Linked DNA regions of Tamandua tetradactyla. The protein of the gene in region 1 purifies or fractionates together with the protein of each later gene. This does not show direct contact. Links are inferred from orthologs where the notes say so. Each region holds a gene or a part of one and is shown on either strand. Other genes may lie near its edges.

Region 1 (7,811 bases):
GGGGAGGATTACGGACGGCAAGTGCCTGGAGGATGAGGTAGTATGTCATAAGGAAAATTAGATATAAGCTCAAGGGTTTCGGCAAACACACAGCTTTCCAGAAGCCTAATAAAGGCCTATGCAAGGCAGAAAACAAAAATGCTATTACGAAACTGTCTGCCTCTTCTTCTTTGGGCTTCTAAGCATATTCATCAAAAGGTGGAAAGCAGCTGGGAACACCTCCTTAGCTGGCTCATCAGCTAAGTTGAGGAAACATCTTCCTCCTCGTGCTCCTCAGTCCCCTTCCTCCAAGTTTGGAACCTTACCTGGACCCCTGTGCCGCTTTTCCATCCAGATATAACAGTTACTCTGGGCCACTCCAGTCTGTGAGTCCAAGAAAGGCAGGCGCACGCTGCGCTCGGCACAGAGGCGGGCATTGTAATTGTGGCACTGTTCCATAGCATCTTTGTAGTATTGTTCCCCAAGGCTGCAGGAAAGGTAAAAATTGGGGGGCAGGGGTGGGGGTGGGATATCTCAGCACCCCTCCCATGCCATCTGCTTCTCTAGAAGACTCAAGGGGTTGGGAATGTCTCTTCAGTTCTATTTGCCTCCGTCTCTGCCTCATGGGACACCAAGCTGCTTCATCAAGTTATCAAGAAGAACGGCACTGTACAACTAAATTGCAGCCAGGAACTCATGATTTCATCATGTATCTAATAAGACTGAACTCTCATCCACAAAGAGGGACAGAAACTAATGCTCACTCTGTTTCACATGAGTCCTGCCCCATGCTAGCTATGGTGTTATTTCTCTTAACTCCCAATGACTCTTGAGAATCAGAAGTTAGTGCCTTACAACTGAGGAAAAGAGTTCAACAAGGTGTGGAGGACTTATTAAAATACATTTAGCAAATTACAGTATTCACATACAATGAAATTCTAATCAGTCACAACAAAAGGAAGCCCCACCTGTACAAATATTGAACAATCAGATATTGAACAACTGTCAAGATAATTTTGGGGAAAAAAGCAAGGTATAGTGCTAGGAAGTACTACAGGATGCTACCATTTCTATAACAAAGAGGGAGGAAAAGAAACTTCAGGCCTCTAGGGAGAAAAACTGGGTGACTAGATTTTCCCCTATATGCCTCTTAATATCTTTTGGATTGTGAACTAAATATTTAGCCAATTAATTTTCTCTATATATTACATTAACAGTATATGGAAGGCATCTGCAAAGACCCGAACTTTCCTTGAGCCTATTTTTGATCGAGGACTATGCTAATACAAAACCTATGAGCTCTAAGGCCCATCCTAGGTTCCTCAACATTTCCAGACCATCAAATTACATAGGAAAGAATCTTCTCGACTCAAAACGATTAACTTGAAATCCAAATCAAAGGAAAACATTTAAGTGCTTAAAAAGCTAGAAAACTACACAGGACCAGGCATTGTCTGGTTACAAGAAACATGCATGTGGAATCAATTTTGTTCTTCCCTTCCAGGGTTTAATAAGTGCTTTCATATTGGAGCTTAACCTAACTGTAACAATACTTATTTATATTTGATCTACCTTAAAACAAAACAAACTGAGGATTGAGGTGATTTATTTCCCAGTTGTAACCCCAGTACCCATGAAGGTGTCTGGTACATGGTCAGACCTGACTTGAGAGTAAAAAGACCTGGTTTGGCTGCAGGTCACCACATACACATGGCCATTTCGTCAACCTATGTGGACCTCATGTTTCTAGTCTATAGACCAGGGGGTGCGGGGGGTAGACTAGATAAGCTTTGACATATCAGGATCCTGTGAGAGGGGACTCCTAGTATGAGAAGCTAGACAGACCAAGTCTCTATTGCTTATGTCCATAAGTCTAGCTACCCCAGCAAACTCTGTTCTGGAATCTGATGGGGGCTTTCATTGAGTGCAGTGCAACAGGAAAATACAGCACAGCTTAGTGTGTGCCCAGCAGCTGAAAAAGATACATACCACACACACAGACAGCGACCCCAGAAGTACAGCCTGGCTTGATTCAATAAGCTATAATTACCATAATTTGAGGTAGGCACAAACCTTGTGTTGGAGAATGGTGAGAAAGGAGCAGGCTCACATTTGCTTGCCTTTAGGAGGCAGCCACGTCCTCACCACAGAGGGAAATTGGATAAACAAGGCTGAGTGCAGCAGCTCCTTTGTTTCTGCTGATGGGAATTGATACTGACACTTGGAAGCCAAATGGAAGGAAGGGCAGACCGGCTGAGGGCTGCAAAGTCAGAGCAAGGAGGCTAGAAATGGTTTCTGAGGAATGGATGAGAGATGTTCTGTAAAAGCTCTTGTGAGTTAAGTGGTATTTCAAAGGGTGGGGTAAACTGTCAAAGGGGGTATGAGGGCTGAGAATGAAATATTTAAGGGGCAGGGAGGATCTAATGAAGAGCAAGCAAGAAAGGGAGAAAGAGAGCTTCTAAGAACTCAGGGCTCCTGTAGCAAGAAATTCCAAGCAAACAGAATTTCCCAGATTTTGTTACTTAATTCCGTTTCAAAATCTGTCAGCAGCTACAGCTTTTTAATACTATCATTTTATCTTGGCTTCTCTTTGGTAAGATTCCTTAAAGACTGTTTCAATCCTGAGACCATTTAGGATGGACAGAGAATTCACAAATAGGAAAATTCTCTCAAGAATAAGATGCAAGCAAGAAAATACCTGGCTGGATATAACCTCAGGTGTCAAAAGACAGGACACACATGATCAAGAGAAGTGCCAGAAGAGCAACTCTTTGCAGGGTGAGAATGGGACAGGAAGAATGGACACCTACTCTTAAAGAGGAGGTGCCGGGGGAAACGTATTAACTGTGGTCTGCAGCCTTCTGCAGCTAGAACTGAGGAGGGGAAAGTGGGTTTCTTATTATCCATACTCAGGAATCAGTGGCTGGTGACCCTCACAATCTCTACAGGTCTTTAAAGAAAAATGAGAAGTCATGCTCTATTTGCTACTACCTTCTGACAACACAGGAAATAATTGGCAACCCTGTCTCCCTGAAGAAAGTTTTCCAACACAAAGACCCTCATTACCTACAACTCTCAAAACCTAGGCAAGCATGACATTCCTTCGGCACAGCAAGATTTCCAAGGTGGCCGCTTTGACTCTTGGGAAGCGGGAAATCTGTATAACATCTTCCCTTAGAATGGGAGTGGGGGAGTCAACAATGAGAAGGGCAGAGAAACAAAGACAGAACGTCTGAGTCAGGAAGGATAACTATATAAATGGCAGATCAACATTGTCATTGCTAAATTGAGGAAAATGTCAGCCTGAAGAGAGAGCAGGGAAACTAGAGTGGGCAGATCAGAGAGAAAGATAATGTGTTGGGAGGAGGGGTGGCTGAAAGAGGTAGCAGGATAAAGCAGAAAGCAAGTCAAAAAAAAAAAAAAAAAAAAAAAGAACCACAAGAGGAGAAGGCACTTAGCTTAATGGAAGTGGGAAACTCCAGGCAGGGGGGAGAAGAAAAGCTCCAGGCATTGGGGAGAAGCAACATATCCTTTAAAAAGGCTCTTGGGAAATGTGGGGCTTAGCCCATGACAAAGACAGAGAAGCTGTCAGTCCTTTAGAATAGTTCCCAAACCTAAACTTAGAATAGTTCTCAAAATCTAAACGGCTTGCTGGACAGGTGGATGCCTCTCAATTTTCCAACTCCTGCACCAAGCCCAAATTATCCATTAAAAACAGCTTGCCTACCGGCCCACGGGGCATTAAGACATTTCTAACCTCATTCAGAATCCTTTCTTCAGGAAGGAGGTTGGATTAATCAAGCCCCAAAGCATCTTTAACTCACAGGAAGCAACCAACAGGCCATTCTCCATTTCTCTCCCAACCATCAACTTTAATTCTGTTCGAAAACTGACCAGCACAATGGTACAGCATAGGAGAAGACTGGCGACCCAGATGTCCCTTCAGGCTATAAAGTCGTCCTGGACTGCTCCCGTCCAGTTCCCGTTTGTTTGTTTGTTTGTTGATGGCTGGGAATGGCCAGCACAAAGGCCAGCTCCTCTGAAGTTCTTTCATTTCTGCTTTCCAACAAATTCTTCCCACTACCATCTTAAGTCCTGGGTAGCAGACACCCAAGGTACCCCGACGTTATGGGGCTGTTAGAATCAAACAGCCCCACGGCCCTTTTCCCCTTCAGCGGCTCCGGAGCCTGTTGCTCGGGGGCCGGCTGCGGGCAGCGACTGGGAGTCGCGGGGAAGCGGCTCAACTCCAGGGCTCCGGACCGTCGCCTGGGCCGCCCGGGCCTCGGCCCAGCCCCTCCGGACGGAGGCGACCCGGGGAGAGAGCCTCAGCCTGCGGACCTCTCGTAGGCTGCAAGGGCGCCTACGTCAGCCCTGAAGGAGCGCTCAGTCCACACAGCCCCACAGAGACTCCGCCGTAAGGGGCTCCCGTGTGCCCCCCACAGGGCCTCCCAAGTTTCCAAAGAAGCGCAACGTCTTCTCCGGAGTCTTCTGTTGCCCTCCCCCGCCAGGAGTAGCAACATGGCCTTCCCAGGCATATTTCTCTCTCCGCCTCATCCCCTCCCCACACCGCCTCCACTCCCAAGCCCCTTACAAGACCTCCCGATCTAGGGGAGAAAGAAACGACCACTCACAGCTTCACTACATTTTCCACCACAGCCGCCATCTTCCCTGCTCCTCTTCTTCAGGAGGGGAGGCCCGGGAGCCCGCAGCGCGCAGGCGCCGGGCACGCTCGGGGTGGGGGCGAGTTTCTCCGTTCTTTTGCGCAGGCGCTGGCCAGGCGCGCGCGCGCGCCCGAGAACGAGCGAGGGGGAATGAACTTCGCCCAGGCTGGGGAGAAACAGTGTGAGGGAGCCGAAGGGAGCCAACGCGCAGGCGCGACGGGAGACGGGCGCGCGCCCCGCTGCTCCTGCTCCAGCCCAGCCGCGCCTCTTCCATTTAGACCCCTCCCGAGAAAGGGCTGTAGGGAGCACCTACGTCTTTCCCCGAAGCCGACCTTTAACCTCATGTTTAACCCTTTGCCCTAGGTCAGAGCTTGGTGGGCAGCTAACTGAAAATAAGAACATTCACAGTCCGCTCTTGCCCACAAACGTGTGTCCATTTTAGGGAGTTAACATCCAGAGCTGGACATTTGTTTGGCCGGAATATTGGGGTCTGACAAAAGTTACCTCATCTTCCTGCCACCAAACCCTCCCACCGAAAGTCTCTGGTACCCACCTCTTCTCCCCGGTCCTAAGACCAGTCCCTACCTACTCCTCAAAAAACTTTATTCCCTCCAACATAGACTCTGAAGAACTTCCCTCCTGTAATTATCCTTCACTCTTCTGTACCATTCATTTCTGCACTGTGAAACATTCTCCTCCGCGTACAAGCATGGCTCTATGTCCCCTTATTTAAAAAAAAAAAATCAAAAGCTCTTCCTTAAGCCCATGTTTGCTTCCCTTATCACTCCCTTTCTTTTCATCCCTTCAAAGCAAATAATCCCTTATTCCCCCATCTCTGCTGTTTTATTTCCATGGCTCTCTTCTGGCTGGTTTAATGAAAGTTTTGTACCCACCAGGCCCCTGAAACGGCTCTTCACAAAGTCACTGTGACATCCATCGCGACAGATTTGGAGGGCTGTTTCCTGTCCTCATCCACCTAGCAGTCTGGTGTCACCATTGACCATTTCCTCCTTTTTCGAACGCTTCTCCAGTCTGAAACATCACACGCTCACGGCTGTCCGACAGTCCCTTTGGCGTCTTTTGCCAGCTCTGTGGCCCACCTATAACCATCACACTCCCCAGGGCTTGCTCCTTGGTCCCCATTATTTTTCCGATATATCTTATCAATGCCAAGATGCACTTACCACCCCCCACCCCTTTTACTATTTCAGAATCAGGCTGCATTCTGCCATCACTGTGTGTTAAAATGGTACTTGGCCAGATGACAGTGTGAGTTATCATGCTGTTCTCTGCAGCAGCACCAGAATTTGCAGAATGGCTGTCACACCTTGGAAGAAAAACCCCAAGGCAACACCGGTGCACTCTTTTACCTCTGAGATCCAAACGATTGTGGGGACAAGGGGCATCAAAAGTGACTCCAACACAGGAGTCGAAAGTATGCTAGCACTAAAGTTAAACTCACAGCTTCAGCATACCTATGATCCAGCAATTCTATTCCTAGATGTATACACCAAAAGACAAGAATGTTCACAGCAGTAGTCTCCATAATAGCCCCAAACTGGAAACAACCCAAATATCCACCAACAGTAGTAGAATGGATTAAACATCAATGGAAAAGACAAGCTGCTGCTATACAACGTGAGGGAATAGTAAAAACTTAATGTTGAACAAAAGAAGCCAGATTCCAAGAAGACAAACTATATGATTTCATTCACATAGTTACACAAGAAATCAGATAAACTGACTGTGGGGCCAGAAGTCAGAAGAGTGGTTATCTTTGGACAGATGATAACTGGGAAGCGGGTACGAGGTGGCTGTGAGAGGCTGCTAATGTCCTTTTTCTTTACATGGGTTTGTTGACTTTGTAAAAAATCATTGATCTGCACAAGATTTGTGCACTCCTCTCTATGCATATTTCAATTAAAAGTTTAAATTACAAATATGAGTAATAATTAGTAGGCTAGTTCTACATCATGGGAAAGCCGGTTTCTGAGCCCAGCATCAATGACTTTCAGTACTTTTAGGATCCTTTTAAGAAATGTCATATCTCTGAACACAGAATATAGTGCTTCTCCTACAGGCAGAATATGTGGGTATGGGAACCAAAGAGCAGAAGTGGGACTCATCCCCTTGCAGTCTCAACTAATGATCCTTTTGCACAATGTCTGTTTCCTGTTCCTCCAACTTTGGGCTCTGGCTGATTTAGAGTCAGATTTTGACCCAAGGGAGAAATGCTTCCACCAGAGGGTGCAATAACGATTCCACTAACCTAGAAGCTGAGACTGCCGATGGGTCATTCTCAGTGCCACCAGGCAAGAAAGTAAAGAGGGTCCCCACTGATGGCCAGAGTGTTAAAATAGTCGTAGCAAAATGGCAATAACTGGCCAATCTAGATAAAGGTATAGGAATGTTCGTGAATCTATTTTCAATGTTTCAAAACTAAATGTTCTGGGGAAAAGTCAACTCTCTACAGGGAAATCCACCAAGAGCTCAGATTACTTCAAAATGAAGTTCGGAGACACATCGCTGGTAAAGGACCCTGACGGCCAAGATGCTGATGGAGGATAAAGAGTTCGTGGACTGGGTGGCTACAGCTTTGTGGTAGAAAAAGTCCATAACTTGTACATGTATTTCTTCTCTTGATGCAACAAGTATTTTATTTAAACATATTCTAATTCCAGATTTTTTCTCCCTTTCCCCCACTTTGTCTTGGTATTAATTCATCTTACAATGTAGTTTCATAATTTGCAAGATATTGAGATGGGCTGATAAGGGACGAGTGAAGGAAGAAGGCATATTGCCTAGAAATCCTGGACTTGGAAGGGGCTGTGATAATTGACCAGACTTTGAGTTTCTCCCTTTGGAAAAAGAACGAATGTATTTTAAAAACGAATTTTATTTACACACATTCCATATCCAACAAACAAACGAGTGACAGTGTTTTTACGGAGATAGGGATAACTGCATTATATTAGGTAGGCTAGATATGTTATTTCTCTTTTTGAAGGGTAACTCGAATAAGGACATGTTGAACATTCAGAACAGTGGATTGTAGGGACATTTCTCTTTTTTTGGCTTTCCAACGACATCTTCTCTTCTTAGTTCTGAAATCCGTTTTTGTGTGTATTTGTGGAACATGGTACCTGAACCCTATGAGATATGCTGAAGAGG
Region 2 (7,811 bases), on another chromosome or scaffold:
AAGGAGAGAGGAATCCAAGCCCTGCAGGTGATCTGGGAAGTCCTCTACCTCCTAGTCCAAGCCTTAGTGGCCAGGGCAACCCAGGCCTCACCTTCTTCTAGGTTCCCTGGGACAGGATACACAACATGGGAGGCATTGTTCTTATCCTCAGTGACGGTTCCCTGGATGGCGCAGGGAAAAACAGGTAAATATGGTCCCCTCTGAGTGGGGGTAAATAAACGAAAGCAAGATTTATCCACAGATCTGGCTTCCTGTTCATAGTTTGCTTAGGATGGTATAAAAGTTAGTTTGTATTCTCTATACACACACCAGCTGAGTGGCAGAGGGAAACAGCTGGGATTGTGCTCATAATGGAGAAAAGTCAAAGAACTGCAGATAATCCTCTGAACAGATAAACTATACATGGGAAATTTCAATTTAAAATCAAATGTATATCCATATCAATGATGTCTGCTTGTTATTATAAAGTTCTGAAGAGCAAGCATTTCATTTATTTAAAATTAAGTGATCTCCAGCTCTGTGAAAGTGGATGCTTCCCACCCCCACCCTCGACCCTAGCCAATGCAGTCTTTAGGACCAGTGATCAAAACCTGTTAAGTCTGGGAAATGGGAGAAACAGGAGGAAAAGAGAGGCTCAGGGCTTTAACTCAATTCTTTCTTGAAGCAGGTAGAGCCACCTCTGAGTTAAAGGTAGAAAACATGGTATTTCAAGGTTCCTGCTTTGTATGGAAAACATCAGGAAAAGAGTCATAGTTTATGAGACCTCTCCTGACCCACCCACTTACCTGGTGTCTCTTGATAATATCCTTTAATTTTCCTAGCAGTTTGGGCTCAATTTCTGGGCACAGAAAAATGTTAGGTCGAGATAAGCAGTTATTCTGTGGGGAGGAGAAACAGATGGGATGACATTATGGAGAAGAGTTGTTTTGGAGTCTCAGTGAAGGAATGGAAATGGATGGGGGAGGTTCGCGACCATTACCTGCACCAATGACTTCTCAATGGTCATGAACATTTCCACGTTGCGGTCCATGCGTGATGGATTCTGGAAATCGTAACGCCGCCTTGCAAAGAGGCAATAATCTAGTGAATGGTATAGCTGAGGTCTGGGGATGAGGTTAGTGTATGTGACTTCTTAATATGGGAAATTAGGAGGTGCTTTTGCTCACAGCTGTTGCCAAAATCACCTGGGATCTGGGATTCACTGATCTCAATTCCTTGAATCACCCTGTGCTTAGTCCAAAAGGATTATGAAAAGCTTGAGAAGGCAACCTAAGAATCCTATTCCCTATACCCACTGATATACACACGTATATACTTGCTCACTCTTGGAGACTATTTTGGTTCTGATTTTTCTGACCTAGTAAATCAGGCCTACTGACCTAGCAAAGCAAGAGACTCACGAGGATTTCTACCTATTTTCTCCCACCCCAGAAAGATTCCAGGGAATCATAAAAGGGGATTCTCTCTAAATTAAACATAAGAAGCATAGAGAAAAGGCATCTCACCATCCCTGGTCACTCTTGAATTTGTAGGCAGCTGCAAGTATATGGCACAGGGAGCCTCCTGCTTTGAAATCTAGGAAACATTTGATCTACAAAATTGAGACAAGAAAGAAGTTTATGAGAGTTATATCTTAAATTCTCATCAGCTAACAATCCTTTCACAAAATTCTATGTTGATCACCCTCTTAAGATGGAATTCTTTAACCCTTGTGCTATTGTATCATGTGGCTTAGAAGAAAGAAGGGAAAGAAACCAAAATTCATAAGGCATCACCTTGTGCCAAGCACTTTCCAGGAGTACCACATTTATCATTACAAAAACTCTAAAAGGTAGGTATTATTATTCCCAACTAGAGATGAAGGCATTAAGACTCAGAAGGGTTAAATGGCTTGTCCAAGATAACAGAGCCACCAAGGGCCAGAGCCAAGATTTGAACACAAGCAAATCCAAATCTCATACCTGTTGCACAAAGTATTACTAAGACAAAAGGAATAATAAATTAGGGACTAGACCAAGCCAATGATGCCCTGACAAGGGGTAGGAATGGTAGTAAATGACCCAAACTTTAAAAAGTATAAAATTTACAAATATACAAAAAAGTAAAATTCCCTCTCCAGTTTGGAGTATGTATACCTTGGTTTTGCACTCACCGGCAGTTTAGTGAGAGGTGCATTGCTGACATGTTTGCCAAAAACTTCTTCCTGAAATTGTAGCAACTGTACCACCAGGCTAGACAGGGACTTGTTGGTGGGTGGTTCAGCTTGTATATACTAGGGAAATGGGAAAAGCAAAGAAAAACAGACCCCAGATAAATGATCTACCACCTCCCATATTTCTCTCCCAGGAGTTCTAGAAGCATCTAGGGCAGAGAAAATAGTGCCTTTCTCCTCGGATGCCTAGTTCTGTAAAGAAAGTAGCAGAAAGAAGGCCCCGATCAACCCTTATCAGGAAGCTGAATTCCTCCTTCCACTAGCCAGATTGCTAGTGTTGGGTGCTGGAGATGTAAGAAACTTCCTACTCTTCCCTCAGCAATACCTTGAAATTACAGGACCCTGTTACAGGACCCTGTTATCTTGACACCTGATCTCCAGTCAGGAACACCAAGGGTTCTAAAATTCTGAAGGTATATGGAGTTCAGGCCAGGGAAGCAATATCTTTGGGGCTCACTATGCAGGCCAACATTGTATTTCTTGGGGGAATTTTGTGGAAGGCCAAGTTTCCCCCTATAATGTAGCTTAATGAGGCACAAGGAAGTGAGGTAGGGTAAGCAGACAGAAAGAATATGCATTTGGCTTCTGCTAGGAAGTGGGTACAAATGTCTTCGTGCTAGCTGTAGGCACTCCTAGATGGGAAGGATCAGCTACTACTTTTCCAGTAAGGAACAGTAATGCAACATCTGTCCTTTATGAGGAAACTATATCTGAGATGCAACTCAGGGCCTTCTTAGCCATAGCCATATTAAGCTACCTAGCAACCTAGCCTTCTGTTCTAAGTTAAAAACAAGCCAGAAAGCTAACTTTCTCTTTACCTTTTGACCTCTGTTTCCTCAACCCTAATCACAGAGAAGAGAGCTCATCTCAGTGGGAGGTGTAAGGAGATCAATGAGTGAAAAGGTAAATGACAAGAGCTAAGAGCATGAAAGCTGAACCAGGTCACAGGCTGTCAATCTCCCCAGGGCCAGGGACTAAGCCCAAAGCCTGATCTCTCTTCCAAAAGTCAAAGTAGAAGCCTGGGAACAAGACCCTCACACTGGGGTGAAGATAAGCACAGATCCAGCAGCTGTTTGTCAGAGAGAGATCCTGAGAACAGGGCCAGACTCATAACCAAGATCACAGAGGGAGTCCCCCTAAATCACCCATCACACTTCCACTTCTGACAGGCTGCAAAGTTGGGCAGGAAGAGCTAGGAGGCTGAAAGAAAGCCAGAAAGAGAGCTCTTAACTCTCTTTCTGGGGGGTAGTGAGAAGGAAGAGAGGCAGATCATCTCCAGAGAAAACCCTCTCGTATAGCTGCTCCTGTCACCAGGCTTAAAGACAAAGACACCAGTAAGAGGTTTGGTGGAAAAGACAGGTAAAGCTTCTTGAACCCTTTGTTCACTACCTTATCACCTCCACTTATGGGATGGGGATGGGGAGGGTTAGAGGAATGGAACTCCTCTTAGGTTCTGAACCCCAAAGCCAATGCAATGCAAGACTAGCTTGCAGGGTGACTTCATTATGAAGGTGAGGAATGGTTTAAGAAGGGGCCGCTGCCCAGGAAATCTAATACACTAGTACCCATAGAGGTTTGTTGCCGCTTAGACGGAGGTGGGGGGTGAGGAGCCGGGAGACAGGTGATTTGGGTTGGGGGCCTTTCTCAGGGTGATGAGTAGCTAGGGGCCTGCTCTATGACCATTTACCCTCCCGCTTTCATCATCTCTCTCAACACACACAAAGCACCAGGGAGGCCTCAGCCCTGCTGGTACCTGGCTCCGTGGGGAGCTCTGGCGCGCACTGTGGCGGGCACGTTTGGCCGACCCCGTCCACCCCTAGCTGTCTCTCGGAGAAGCCGGGAAAACGATGGCTTCGGAGAGGATGGGCTGCTGGCATCGGGCCCACCGGGGCAATGGAGAAAAACAAGGGGCAGAGGGGGATGCGGGGGCTGAATTCAGAGGCTGGGGGTGTAAAATGGGCTGGGGCAGGGGCGCAGGGCGCCAGGCGGGGACCGGGAGCGGCCTGGGAACTGCTCAAGGCCGCCGGGCAGGAGCCGGAGGCGGCAGGAGGGTGGGCAAGATCCGGGAAGGGGCTTCGGGGCCACGGCCCCTTTGTCCCGCCCCCAGCACCCCCCACGGGCCTGCCCGCCGGGGCCGCGTACCTTCTTGTAGTTCTTGCCAAGCCAGAGTCGCACGTTGTCGAACTGGGTCACGGTGTCCGCGGCCTCGTAGTACTTCACGTTGGGGCCACCGTCCTTCTTCCGCACCGCCATCTTCTCAGGCTCCGGCCCCGCCGCCGCCGCCGCCCGCCCCGCTCAGCTCAACTCCCGCCTCCTCCGCCCGCCTCCCGCCGCCTCCCGCCGCCGCGGCCGCCGCCTCCCGCCGCCACGGCCGACCCCGGCCCACGTAGCGCCCCCTGCCGGCAGGCCGGGCGCAGAGGCGGCAGATTGGCCCCACGCGTGGACCGACCCCGGTGGCCTTCCCGGCCGCGGCGGCGGTGGCAGCGGCGGCGGTGGCGGCAGCCGGAATCTCCCGGGACACGGCTGTTTCCTGGAGGGGGCGCCCACTCTGCTGAGATCGCTCCTTAACTGACGCTAAGCCCTTTCTCTCCTTTGGCCTCCTCTGCCCGGGGGATGGGGAACCTCTCTATTCTACCTCAAGGGGACGTCCATCGCCCTCAACCCTGGAGCCCCGAGTTTTTCTCATCCTTGCACATCTCTAATTCCACAGAAGCTCAAACGCCTTTTCCCAAAAGGTTTCTTCCTTTCATCCCTCCCCAGCAGCTCTCCCTTTAAACTTTCGAGGATCCCTCACCCTTGACGTCTTGTCCAGGGACCGTCCTCTCACCCTTTAACCCGAGGAGTTCCCTGGCCGCCACCCTGGAGTTCTAGTCCCTTCCCACCAACTGCTTCCTCTTCAGGCCCCGCTATCAAATCCTAAATAGTTTTCGCTCCTTGAGACCCCTCTATGCTAGGCGGGAGACCCTACCTTCCAGAACCATCTTGTCCACCTGACTTTTTTCCTTTGAGGGGCCGAAGAGGAGGTAAGAAGAGGGAGGGCCACAGCAGAGGGGTCGGGTCCTAGCTTCCAGTTGTACTTCTTGCCGGGTCAGAAGTTGAATCCCTTCTGTAAGCGCGCGGGAAAGCGCGATTTTTGGGAGTCACGGTGGCCGAGTGGTTAAGGCGTTGGACTCGAAATCCAATGGGGTTTCCCCGCACAGGTTCGAATCCTGTTCGTGACGGCAGCGGTTTTTGTTTGCTTTACCTTCACAACTCATAAAGGGAGTCCCAATCCCCAAAAGTGACTTTCTTGCACTTCTCTTTCTGTCTCGGAAAGGAAAGCCAAAGGTTTCACCTCTGGATTTTTTTTTTCTTTTTTTTCTTGTGGTGGTGGAGCAGTATGGGGAAGGAAGTCACAGGAAGCTTAATTATGCACAGTTGTATTGGCTGCTAGGCTACACGGCACTTTAAGTCTTATTAACTGTGTTGCCAGCAGAGTGTTCGGCGCAAGTTTCATTCTTGTGAGAGAGGGTAGTAAAGAATTTGAATGAAGAGGGGTGTTTCAATTTTGTTTGAGAATGTGAGTGCTTTTCTCTGTAATGATAGTCAAACCTAGAGTTTCTAGGAAAAGAGGGCACCTCTGTACTTCCATTACTATATTACACTTTGTGGGTTTTATTACACTGACAACCCACGAAACAGGACATTCTCTCACTCAGATGTTCTTGAGGAGATAAACCTCAGGCATCACAGAGCTGGGGTTGGGGGAACCTATTGAAACAAACACTAAAGAGCTGGAGCCAGGGTTTGGGAAGTTAACTGTCTGTCACTTTTTGTGTTCTCCTTAAGTGCCAGGCCCTGTTCTAAATTCTCTTTGTATATTAACCAAGCTAGGACCTATAAGGCTCCTGTCCTCACCTCACCTGGCTCTTCCTATCCTCTAATGTCTGTTGTGGGAAAGAGCTAGGCTGCTTGTTGAGAATGTTTTTGTGTCAGTTCATTCATACCTTTGTTCATGCTGTTTTGTGGATTGCCCTCACCATTGCCCACCTCTTCTCCCATCATCATATCTTTTAAGCCCCTCTCTGCTGTGCCTCATCATTTCACCTGCAACCTATTGGTCTACTACCACCATTCCTGAGTTGTATGCAAGGCATCTCCCTTGACATGCCTCCATAAAATATATAAAAACAAGTCTTACTTATTCTGTCTTCTAAATATGTCTCAAATCTGTCTACTTCCTTCAGGTGTGAGTGCAGGCTGAGCCCACCACATACTACACCAAGGTACTTGGGCTTTCATCAGGAAAGTAGGGTTAATTTAAAACTGCACTAAAGATGGGTACTATAGCCTGAGACCTTAAGCCCCTGATGGCTGCTGTTTGTCTGCCCTTTGTCTTGCATGATCTAGCCTCTTTCACCACTCTTCCATATTCACTATATTTCACTCACTGCCATTCTTTTAACTTCTGCTATAGTATGTGGCCTTGCCTGTACTGTTTTCTGCATGAATTGCTCTTTCTCATTCTCACCTTCCACTCAAATGTTGGTTAAATGTTGGTTAAGCCTCCACTTAAATGTTGGTTCTCGTGGGGAGTCTTCCCTGATCAGATATTGCTGAACATATCCTATGCCTTAACTTTATTATTTGAAGTATAGAACATAAACTCAGGCGCATATAAGCCACAAAATGAAAACAAAAAACAAAAACAATATTTGTTGAATAAATGGATGTTTTTACAGTAATTATGTGTACATGTTTTAATTGTCACTTGGACTGGACTTCTTTAGACTTAGGCTGTCTTTCACAATGCCTTATCTGTAGATGTAATCAAATATGTATTAAATAAATTCATAGAATCTAGTAGGCTCAGTGCTCTGCTTCCTACCAAATACCATTTTGCTCATACTCTTAGACTTAAAAACAAGACCAAAATTGACCAGCAGAGGGCAACCAATAACTGTGTTGTGAAGGGATGGCAGCTCCATGGTTTACAAAATGGAGGATTTGGACTGAGAAGGAGAATGTGGCATACGGGGTTTGGCACTTGGGGACTATCCTGTTCACTCTCAGATGCCTCCCTTGTAACTAACTTTTGAGTGTTACCTCTATCTTCATGAATAATAGATAATTTCCAAAAATTTTACCAAATTTTTACCATCTCCATGGCCCCAGTTCTTTCACCTTTCCCCTGCAAATTCTGTCCTTGTATCTTTGTGTTGCATGATCTGGTCCCCTTTCTCTTGCCACGCTTCTGTATTTACTACATTACATTCACCGGCATTCTTGAGTTCCTGGTACAGTATTTGGCCTTGCTCATCTGCCCTCAACCTTCTATTCCCATCATTTCAACCTCCTAAGGAATTTTCCACAAGCATCCCTCCATAACACCTTCAAATTCTCCTACTCCTCTGGATCAATCCTTCCTGAATTCAGAACAAAATCACACCTTCACTTGACACTGCCAAATCACATTGTTTTCTACTTCCTCTTATTTTGCAAATAAAATGCATACCCTCTGCCTCCAGCTCCACACTATCTTAATACCCTGCCATCTTGTTTCTGCCTCCTGCTTTTAAAAAGACGTTAATAGAAACACTGGCCAAATTCAATAGTCTTT
Region 3 (7,811 bases), on another chromosome or scaffold:
AAAATACTGCATTCATTTTCACCTTATCACATATGTCAAGTATAAATAGTAGGCAATGCACACCAACGAACAGATTGGCTAATATGAATTGGTTACAAAATTGTAACCAGAATTCTGGGTAAAGAAATAACCTCACTAAATGAATTAATTACTTGATTAACCAAAAATTTCAACTTTTTATGAATCCGTTCTCAGAATGTTTTAAAACAGATTACAAAAGAAATCAATTATTATAAAATACAGTTCAAACGAGGGACTCCCTGGGAAGGCCATGGACTTCATATTAGCAGCAGCTCCCCCAATTTATCCTTTCCTAGGTGATTCCCCAACATCCTTAAAAATTTCAATTTCTATCTAAACACTGATAATCCTAATTTCAAATGTCTCTCTTTTAAACCCTAACCTCGATCCAGATCTAGATCCTGAACTTCTTATCCTACATCCATATCAATTCTACCTGCTGTCCCATGGGTATATGAAGTTGAACATATGTGAAGCACTGCCTTCCAACCTGCCTACTTCATCTCTCAGCATTCCCTATCGCACTTGGTGGCCTGTCAAAGAGGCATGCTGTACATCTTTTTCATACCTCTCAGCAAGTTCTGTCAAATTTGGAAAAACAGCTCCTAAATACTTCTCAAATTCCCTTGATTCATGCACCAATGAACCTAAAGTAGAAAAGTGACAGGAAGCTTAACATCACAACCACAGAGGTCTGAATGTTTAAAACCTAGGATGAAACTTCCAATGGATTAAAAAAAAAATCCTCAATGACTGGATCCTTTTCCACTAAAAACACTGCTATCTCCACTTATTTGAGGATTTTCAGGGTTTTACCCAGACTAAATGGCTTCCAATTTTAGGGGTAATGGGATTTTCTTGAGGAAACATGAGAAAATGATGGTAATTTTCTAACCTGGTCTTAAGACATTCCAACAGGATACTAATGACTAATGATTTTGAGAGGGTGCAGGAAAGTGGTTATTTTTTTGTGTGGATGAAGACACAGCCAGGATTGGTAATTTCAACTCATGGGGGAGATGACTAAGAAATGATTAAGGTTAGAGATTCGGGCAGGAAAGCGGGGAAAGAGTGATGACACTAACAATTTATTAAAGTTGGGCTACAGTGGACGGCATACCGGTTTACTTCTGTCATGCAAAGGGACCTGAAGTAGAGGAGTACAGGGAAAGATAACAAACAGCAGTGAGTAGGCCCAGCAACTAGCTGGGAGATAAGGAAACCCCAGTGAATTATGCATTACACCTAGAGCTAAAGACAGATGTCAGATCTGTTCAGAAATAATTATTAAAATAAGACAACAATAAATTTTAGATTTTAAACTAGAAGGAGCTGTTTAATAATAAGCAAGCAGGTGAAAAATACAGTCAACCCTTGAGGGATGGGAAAAAAATATATGGAACTATTAAACTTTACCATCAGGGAATCCCCTGATACTGCTTCAAATATTAGGGACACCCAAATCAATAGGCCAAGCCTTTGATCTTGAGGCTTACTCTTGTGAAGCTTAAGTAGGTAGCAGAGAAGCTTAGCCTACCTATAGGTATACCTAAGAGTCACCTCAGAAGGACCTCTTTTGTTCCTCAGATGTGGCCTCTCTCTTTCTAAGCCCAACTCTGTAAGTGAAATCACTGCCCTCCCCCACGTAGTGTCATCCAGGGGTGAAAGTCTCCCTGACGATGTGGGAAAGGACTCCCAGGGATGAATCCCGACCTGCACTGTGGGATCAACAGTTCTATCCTGACCAAATGGGGGGAAAGAACTGTAATTAATAAAGTATCAGTGGCAGAGAGAGTTCAAATAGAGTCGAGAGGCTACTCTGGAGGTCACTCTCAAGCTTCAGTTAGACATATATCTATCATACCTTGCCAAATCCCAAAACCATTCCAGCCAATCCTAAAGAACACCTAGGGCAATATATAAGATCCTACAAAGGTTCCATGTACTGGGGTAACTTTCTAAAAACCTAACAACCTCCAGATAGGTTCCTGGACCACATAAGTCCTGAAACCTAAAGGGCCCAGCCTCTCCAGAACATCGCTGGTTCCATCTCCCTACCCCTTATTACTGACAGTCTCCTCCAATACGAAAAAGTTAGAATGGCCATAGCTCAAATATCCCTAAAGAGTGGGACAGAAAGATCAAAGGTGATGGTGGAGTTATACAGAGAAAGGTAGGGTTTAACAAACGAGTATGACTGCAGAATCATTAAACTGATATTTTAGTCTCCAGTATATTAGAGCAGCTAGAAGTAAAAACCTAAAATTGTGAAATTTTAACCCATACCAAATTCTGAAACCTGTTCTACAACTAACTGTTGTGCTGTGCTTTGAAAGTTATTACTTTTCTGTATATATGTTATTTTTCACAAAAAAGAAAAAAAAGTCAATTGTGATTATAAAAAAATATATATATTTATTCTTCTAGCCCCTTATACTCTGGTGCAGAAAGAAGGAAAAATCTGAGAGGATGATATGGTAGTCCATGACAAACTCTGGGATCTGAACCACTTGTGGAAGAGTGCTTTAAAAACTATTGCTTTTTTCTTTCTTTGCTTTGTATATATGTTATATTGTACAATAAAAAGTAAAAAAAAAATAGTCTAGTAAGTTATTTACACAACATTTAGGTGAGAGGTTTGCTTGCTTTTACATGGACAACATGTGTAAAAGGGAGACCCACTCTAAATGTTGGAAACAGTGATAGCTCAATCATAAAACATGCATTTATTTTTTGTGAATTCTAAACACTTAACTGTGAAATGATCTTTAAGACTCTACATAAGCCAACAAGACACAGGATGTTTATTACAAATACCTAAACCATACATGACCCAGTTTTTCTCTCAAGCTTGCATCTTCAGGCTAGGGGGAGAGTAATTGTGAGGATCCACGATGCCTTCTCCAAATTCCCATCATTCAGATATCAAAATCAAATAGGTAAGTGGAGAGAGAGCAAAGGTCTGTACTCCACTCAGAAGAGACACAAACTACAGGCCAAAAACTACTGAGAACTGTGAAAACATTATTTATCCCCTACTCATAAAATGTCATCCTTTCCAGAAACAATAACAGTAATACTTCCAATTTGTCTCCTTGTCCACTAACTCATCAAACAATGCAGAACACAAATCACAGACATCAGAGCTTCAAGTCTGCCAGTGGTCTTCTAAAAATGAAGGCTCAGTGGAAGGCTGAGGATGGGGCCTGAGATTCTGCGTTTCCAAAAAGCTCCCAGGTGATTCTGGCTGTTGGTCTATGCATCACACCGGCACCCTTAGGTCACACGTGTTCCTAAACAGACCTGCCCACGTAACTCCAGAGAACCCAGTGAACATGGCCAGGCGTTATTGGAGGACATGAGGCCACGCCCATTCCACATGGATCTGGAGGAGGAGGAGGAGTGTGAAGAGGACCAGGAGGCAGAGAAAGAGAGGGAGGGAGAGGTGGAGAAGGAGAAGGGGGAGGAGGAGGCAGAGGAGGGGGGAGAAGGAGGAGGAAGGGTGGGAGAGGAGGGAGAGGAGGAGGAAAGAAGGAGCAGGAGGATGAGCAAGCCCTCTATGTGAACTAACAGGAGGAGAGAGAGGTGAGGGAGGAGAAGGAGTAGGGGGAGGAGGAAGAAGGAAGGGGAAGAGCGGGAGGAGGAGAGGGAGGAGGAGGAGGCCACTCCACTTGGGCCAACAGAATGGGGAGGAGTAGGGGCAAGAGTAGGAGGCCGCTCCAGGCGGACACACAGGAGGTGGAGAAGTAGGGGCAGGGGGAGGCGGGGGAGAAAGAGGCGGCGGAGGAGGAGGAGGTGGAGAAGTAGGGGCAGGGGGAGGACGAGGAGGAGAACGAGGAGGAGGAGGCGGAGGAGGTTGCGGCGGACGAGTAGGAGGACGTGGACGAGGACGAGGACGAGGAGGATGAAGACGAGGAGGAGGAGAATGGGGAGGAGGAGCCCGCGCTGTCCGGTGCGCCCGCCCCTCCGTCGCGCGCCCTCGCTAGGCCGGGAGGCAGCCCTCCGCCCAGGCCTTTACACACCAGGACCTAGAAACACTGGGCGACGCGGCCGAGCGCGCCCCTGAAGGGATGGGGACTGGAGCCGGGCTCGGACCCTGGTAGGCGCTGCTCGCCCCTACCCAAGGTCGGCGCCTGCTCCTCGAGAGCCGGGGCAGGGGCGCTGGGGTCCGGGGTGAGATCCGAGGGGGCGGGAGGGAGGGCCGGCCGGCGGTTACACAGCCCGCGCCACACAAGGTGCTCTCCCCGGCCGCGCTCACTCACCTCCCCCGTACACGCCGCCGCTCATGGCCGCTGCTGGCGCGACCCCTACGCGGAGCCGCCAGGTGAAGGGACGTGTCCGGCTGAGGCTGGGAGGCGCTAGCCCCCTCCCTTAACTTCACAGCCGCCCCTCAGCAACAAAGCGGCGCCGCACACCGGCGCGCAATCACACTTGCTGGCTCTTCTCATCAACCAGTCGCGAGCGGGCCAGCCTTTTCCGCCGGCCAATCAGAACAAGGCTTGCTGTGTCCCTGCGACAGCTCCGTTAGTTTAGCCAATCGAAGGCCGCCATAGGGGCGGGGCGAGGGGGGAGAGCGACGGAAGGGCAGAAAGTTAGGTTGCGGAGCTGAAGAAGGCGGGACTTAGCAGGGTGGGCGGGGCCGAGGGAGCCTGAGAAGGAGGAAAGAGGAGGGAGGTGGGAGTTGAGGGGGGAGGGAAGGGCGGGAGGGAGGATGGAGGGGTGGTGAGGGGAGGGAGGGAGAGAGAACCGGAGGGGAGGGAAGGAGGTAGGGCGGAGGGCGGGGGGGCGGAAGGCGGGGGGCGGAAGGCGGGGGGCGGGGGGGGGGGGGGGGCCGCCCAGGGCAGCCGAGGAAGGCAGACCTCCGGCATCGAAGTCTGAGGTTGAGACGCTGCCTGTCCCTGGATACGGCAAACGGTTGTCGCTCTGCTGCTTCTCCAGGCTGGCAGCAGTTTGATCTCTAAAAACGCCCAAATCCGCCTTCAGTCTTTTACCGTTGACTTTGGTGTTACTTGTAGGTTTTTAATAAACGTCTTTAATTAGGTTGAGGAAATTGCCTTGAATACCTAGTTTTCTGAGAGTTGACATGACCATATGATGTTTCATTCTTTTTTCAGTTTGCTGGAATAGTGAGTTTCATTTATTGATTTTCAAATATTGAATCAACTTTGTGTTCTTAGGATAAATCCTTCTTGGTTATGATGTATCTTCCTTTTCGATTGCTTAATTTGGCTTGCAAATATTTTGTTTAAAAGTTTTAAGTCTGAATGGAATGATATCTTATTGTTTTGTTTGTTTGTTAATTTTTTTAATTAATAAAAAAATTTTAAATAAAGTTTTAAGTCTGTGTTCGTAAAATATTTTATTCTTTAAGAAAGAAAGATGCCCAAATCTGTTCATGTCTCTCCATTGCTCACACCTGTGAGATAGTTGCATAGCCTTCTAGCTGAAGTCAGTTCTGAAATTGGCAGGTCTAGAATCTATACTTAGGGTTATTCTTAAACTGATGAAAATTGAATACAGACTCATGAGTGATGGTGCTGTAGGGTGGCAGGAAGTGATGGAGAATGGGGTGGGAAACAAAACTAGTGAGAAAACCCTGGCCCATTCACTTTACCCAGTAGGATTGTATCACAGTATATTATATCACTTAAGAAATTTCCATTGACCCAGTGAGATGATGCAGGGGTTAAGCAAACTTTGGCCCATGGGCCAGAGCCCAACTGTCATCTGTCTTTGCATGGCCTGTGAGCTAAGCACTCTTAAATGGTTTTAAAAAAAAAATTGTTCTATGATGTGAAAATTATATGAAATTCAAATTTCAGTGACCATAAACTAACTTTTAATGTGATACAGCCAAACATCCATTTATGGCTGTATTCACTCTATCCAGGCAGAGTTGAGTAACTAACAGAGACCATGTGGTCCACCAAGCCTGAAATATTTACTAGGAAAAAGTTTGTTTAGTCCTGAAACAATGCATGTAACAAACTGAGCACAGTACACCTCGTTTAATAGTTGTCCCTTATTTACAGCTCTTATTCTAGCATATCAAATCCCCAAATCATTTTTACTTCCACTCTGTTTTTATGTTTGACTGATAAAGCTGATGACCTATAAAACATTGTGATCGTAAAATTGTGGAATTGTAACCCATACCAAACTCTGAAATCTGTTCTACAAGTAACTGTTGCGATGTACTCTGAAATTTACTGTTTTTTTTTGTAAATCTATTATCACAAAAAAAAAAAAGAAAAAGAGAGAGAGAAGGAGGAGTATAGCAAAGAAATAGGATTTAACAAATGAATATGACTGCTGAATCATTATATTGATATTTCTTTTGGTCTCCAGTGTCTTGGAGCAGCTAGAAGAAAAAAACAAAAAATTGTGGAACTGTAACCCATGCCAAACTTAAAAATCTGTTCTATAACTATTTGTTAAAATGTACTTTGAAATTTATTGCTTTTTTATATATATGTTCTATCTCACCTAAAAAAATTGTGATGGGTTGGTCTTGAATAATTAAATATTGAAGAGATAATATTTGTGAATTTATAATATGCTACAATCCATTTAAATTTTACATTCAAATGCATAGTAATTCATATACTGTAACTTAAATTTGATTTTATATATGGATATTGGTCATCAAGACTATCTCCCATGCATGTAGGAGAACATATTCTAGAAAAAAAATAGCTGTCTAGTCTGGCAAAGAGTGAAATGTCTGTCCTACCAGTTCAGAGTTACCAGAAACGAAACAGATCAGCAGTGTTGACAACTCCCCCACCCTCCCTTGAGTTGCAGTGCTCTAAAGGGAAGTTTGAAATGCTGTGACTGTTTCCTGCCACCATGCCCACACCAGGAGCAGTTCAAGATGTACTCAAAAGTTATGCTTGGGTATTTTTGCTTTGAAAGGAAGGATTTTTTTCCCCATTAGATAATTTGGAAAAATATTTAAAAACAGATCCTTACCTCTAGGTCAGCTTACTCCTTCATGTATCATTGGACTCTTGTTTCTATTTAATAATAAACCATTGAAATGAACTTCAAATGAAATTAACTGCACAGTATATCTGATGTGTCAGGGCTGATCAGATAAAAGTGCACACTTAAGCCTTTCATAAAATTTAATCACTAAACAGTGTATTATGGCATGAAGATGATTGGCCCTGAAGTATTGAATTGTTGGAAAAAAGGAAAATTGAGAAATAAGAAACCTATTCAGCAGCCTAAGAGAACAATGCTGGGGACTGCACATTCTGTGTAGTACTGACATTGTTTCCTCTGAGGCAAGACTTACAGTGTGCAAGCTTGTTTTCTTCTGTTCTTCCCAACTAGGAAAATTTACAGGAAATATGTAATAAGACAAATACAACAGAGACTCAGCAGAATACAAGTACATACACACACACAATCAGAGGTATTTTTGCATCAATATTTTTTCTGTAACCTAATACCTTCTTGCTAAAATTTCGGCTCAGCCTGCGTTAATGTTGTCAATAACAGATTAAACAGCAACAAGGACTCAAGGTTATTTCCTGGTATTCAGTCCTCGTGGGCATAACGTATCAAAATAATCAATGCTGGGCGGGCCACGGTGGCTCAGCAGGCAAGAATGCTTGCCTGCCATGCTAGAGGACCCGGGTTCAATTCCTGGTGCCTGCCCATGTAAAAAATAATAATAATAGCAATCAATGCTGCAGCCTCCTCCTCCCTCTCTGAGACACAATATTAGGTATGCCAACCTGAAAATAAAAGTTTAAATAACATGTATGCAAACTTATGTAGCC

Evidence for each region.
Region 2: the proteins of DPF2 (region 1) and SMARCC2 purify together in Homo sapiens (affinity purification with mass spectrometry; 8 studies listed by BioGRID and IntAct, counting the BioPlex papers as one, with this or other methods). This does not show direct contact. The link is inferred for Tamandua tetradactyla from reciprocal best matches to the Homo sapiens genes DPF2 and SMARCC2.
Region 3: the proteins of DPF2 (region 1) and ACTL6A purify together in Homo sapiens (affinity purification with mass spectrometry; 5 studies listed by BioGRID and IntAct, counting the BioPlex papers as one, with this or other methods). This does not show direct contact. The link is inferred for Tamandua tetradactyla from reciprocal best matches to the Homo sapiens genes DPF2 and ACTL6A.

What each region holds. Positions count from the first base shown.
Region 1 is NC_135335.1:9,218,408-9,226,218, forward strand, and holds the start of DPF2 (zinc finger protein ubi-d4), read right to left. Parts: upstream 4,737-7,811; 5' UTR 4,643-4,736; coding exon 4,611-4,642; intron 467-4,610; coding exon 306-466; intron 1-305. UniProt on the Homo sapiens protein: Plays an active role in transcriptional regulation by binding modified histones H3 and H4. Is a negative regulator of myeloid differentiation of hematopoietic progenitor cells. Might also have a role in the development and maturation of lymphoid cells.
Region 2 is NC_135333.1:123,238,648-123,246,458, forward strand, and holds the start of SMARCC2 (SWI/SNF complex subunit SMARCC2), read right to left. Parts: upstream 4,521-7,811; 5' UTR 4,466-4,520; coding exon 4,355-4,465; intron 2,273-4,354; coding exon 2,153-2,272; intron 1,592-2,152; coding exon 1,506-1,591; intron 1,062-1,505; coding exon 980-1,061; intron 879-979; coding exon 786-878; intron 162-785; coding exon 92-161; intron 1-91. UniProt on the Homo sapiens protein: Involved in transcriptional activation and repression of select genes by chromatin remodeling (alteration of DNA-nucleosome topology).
Region 3 is NC_135331.1:77,894,958-77,902,768, reverse strand, and holds the start of ACTL6A (actin-like protein 6A), read right to left. Parts: upstream 4,472-7,811; 5' UTR 4,309-4,471; coding exon 4,284-4,308; intron 1-4,283.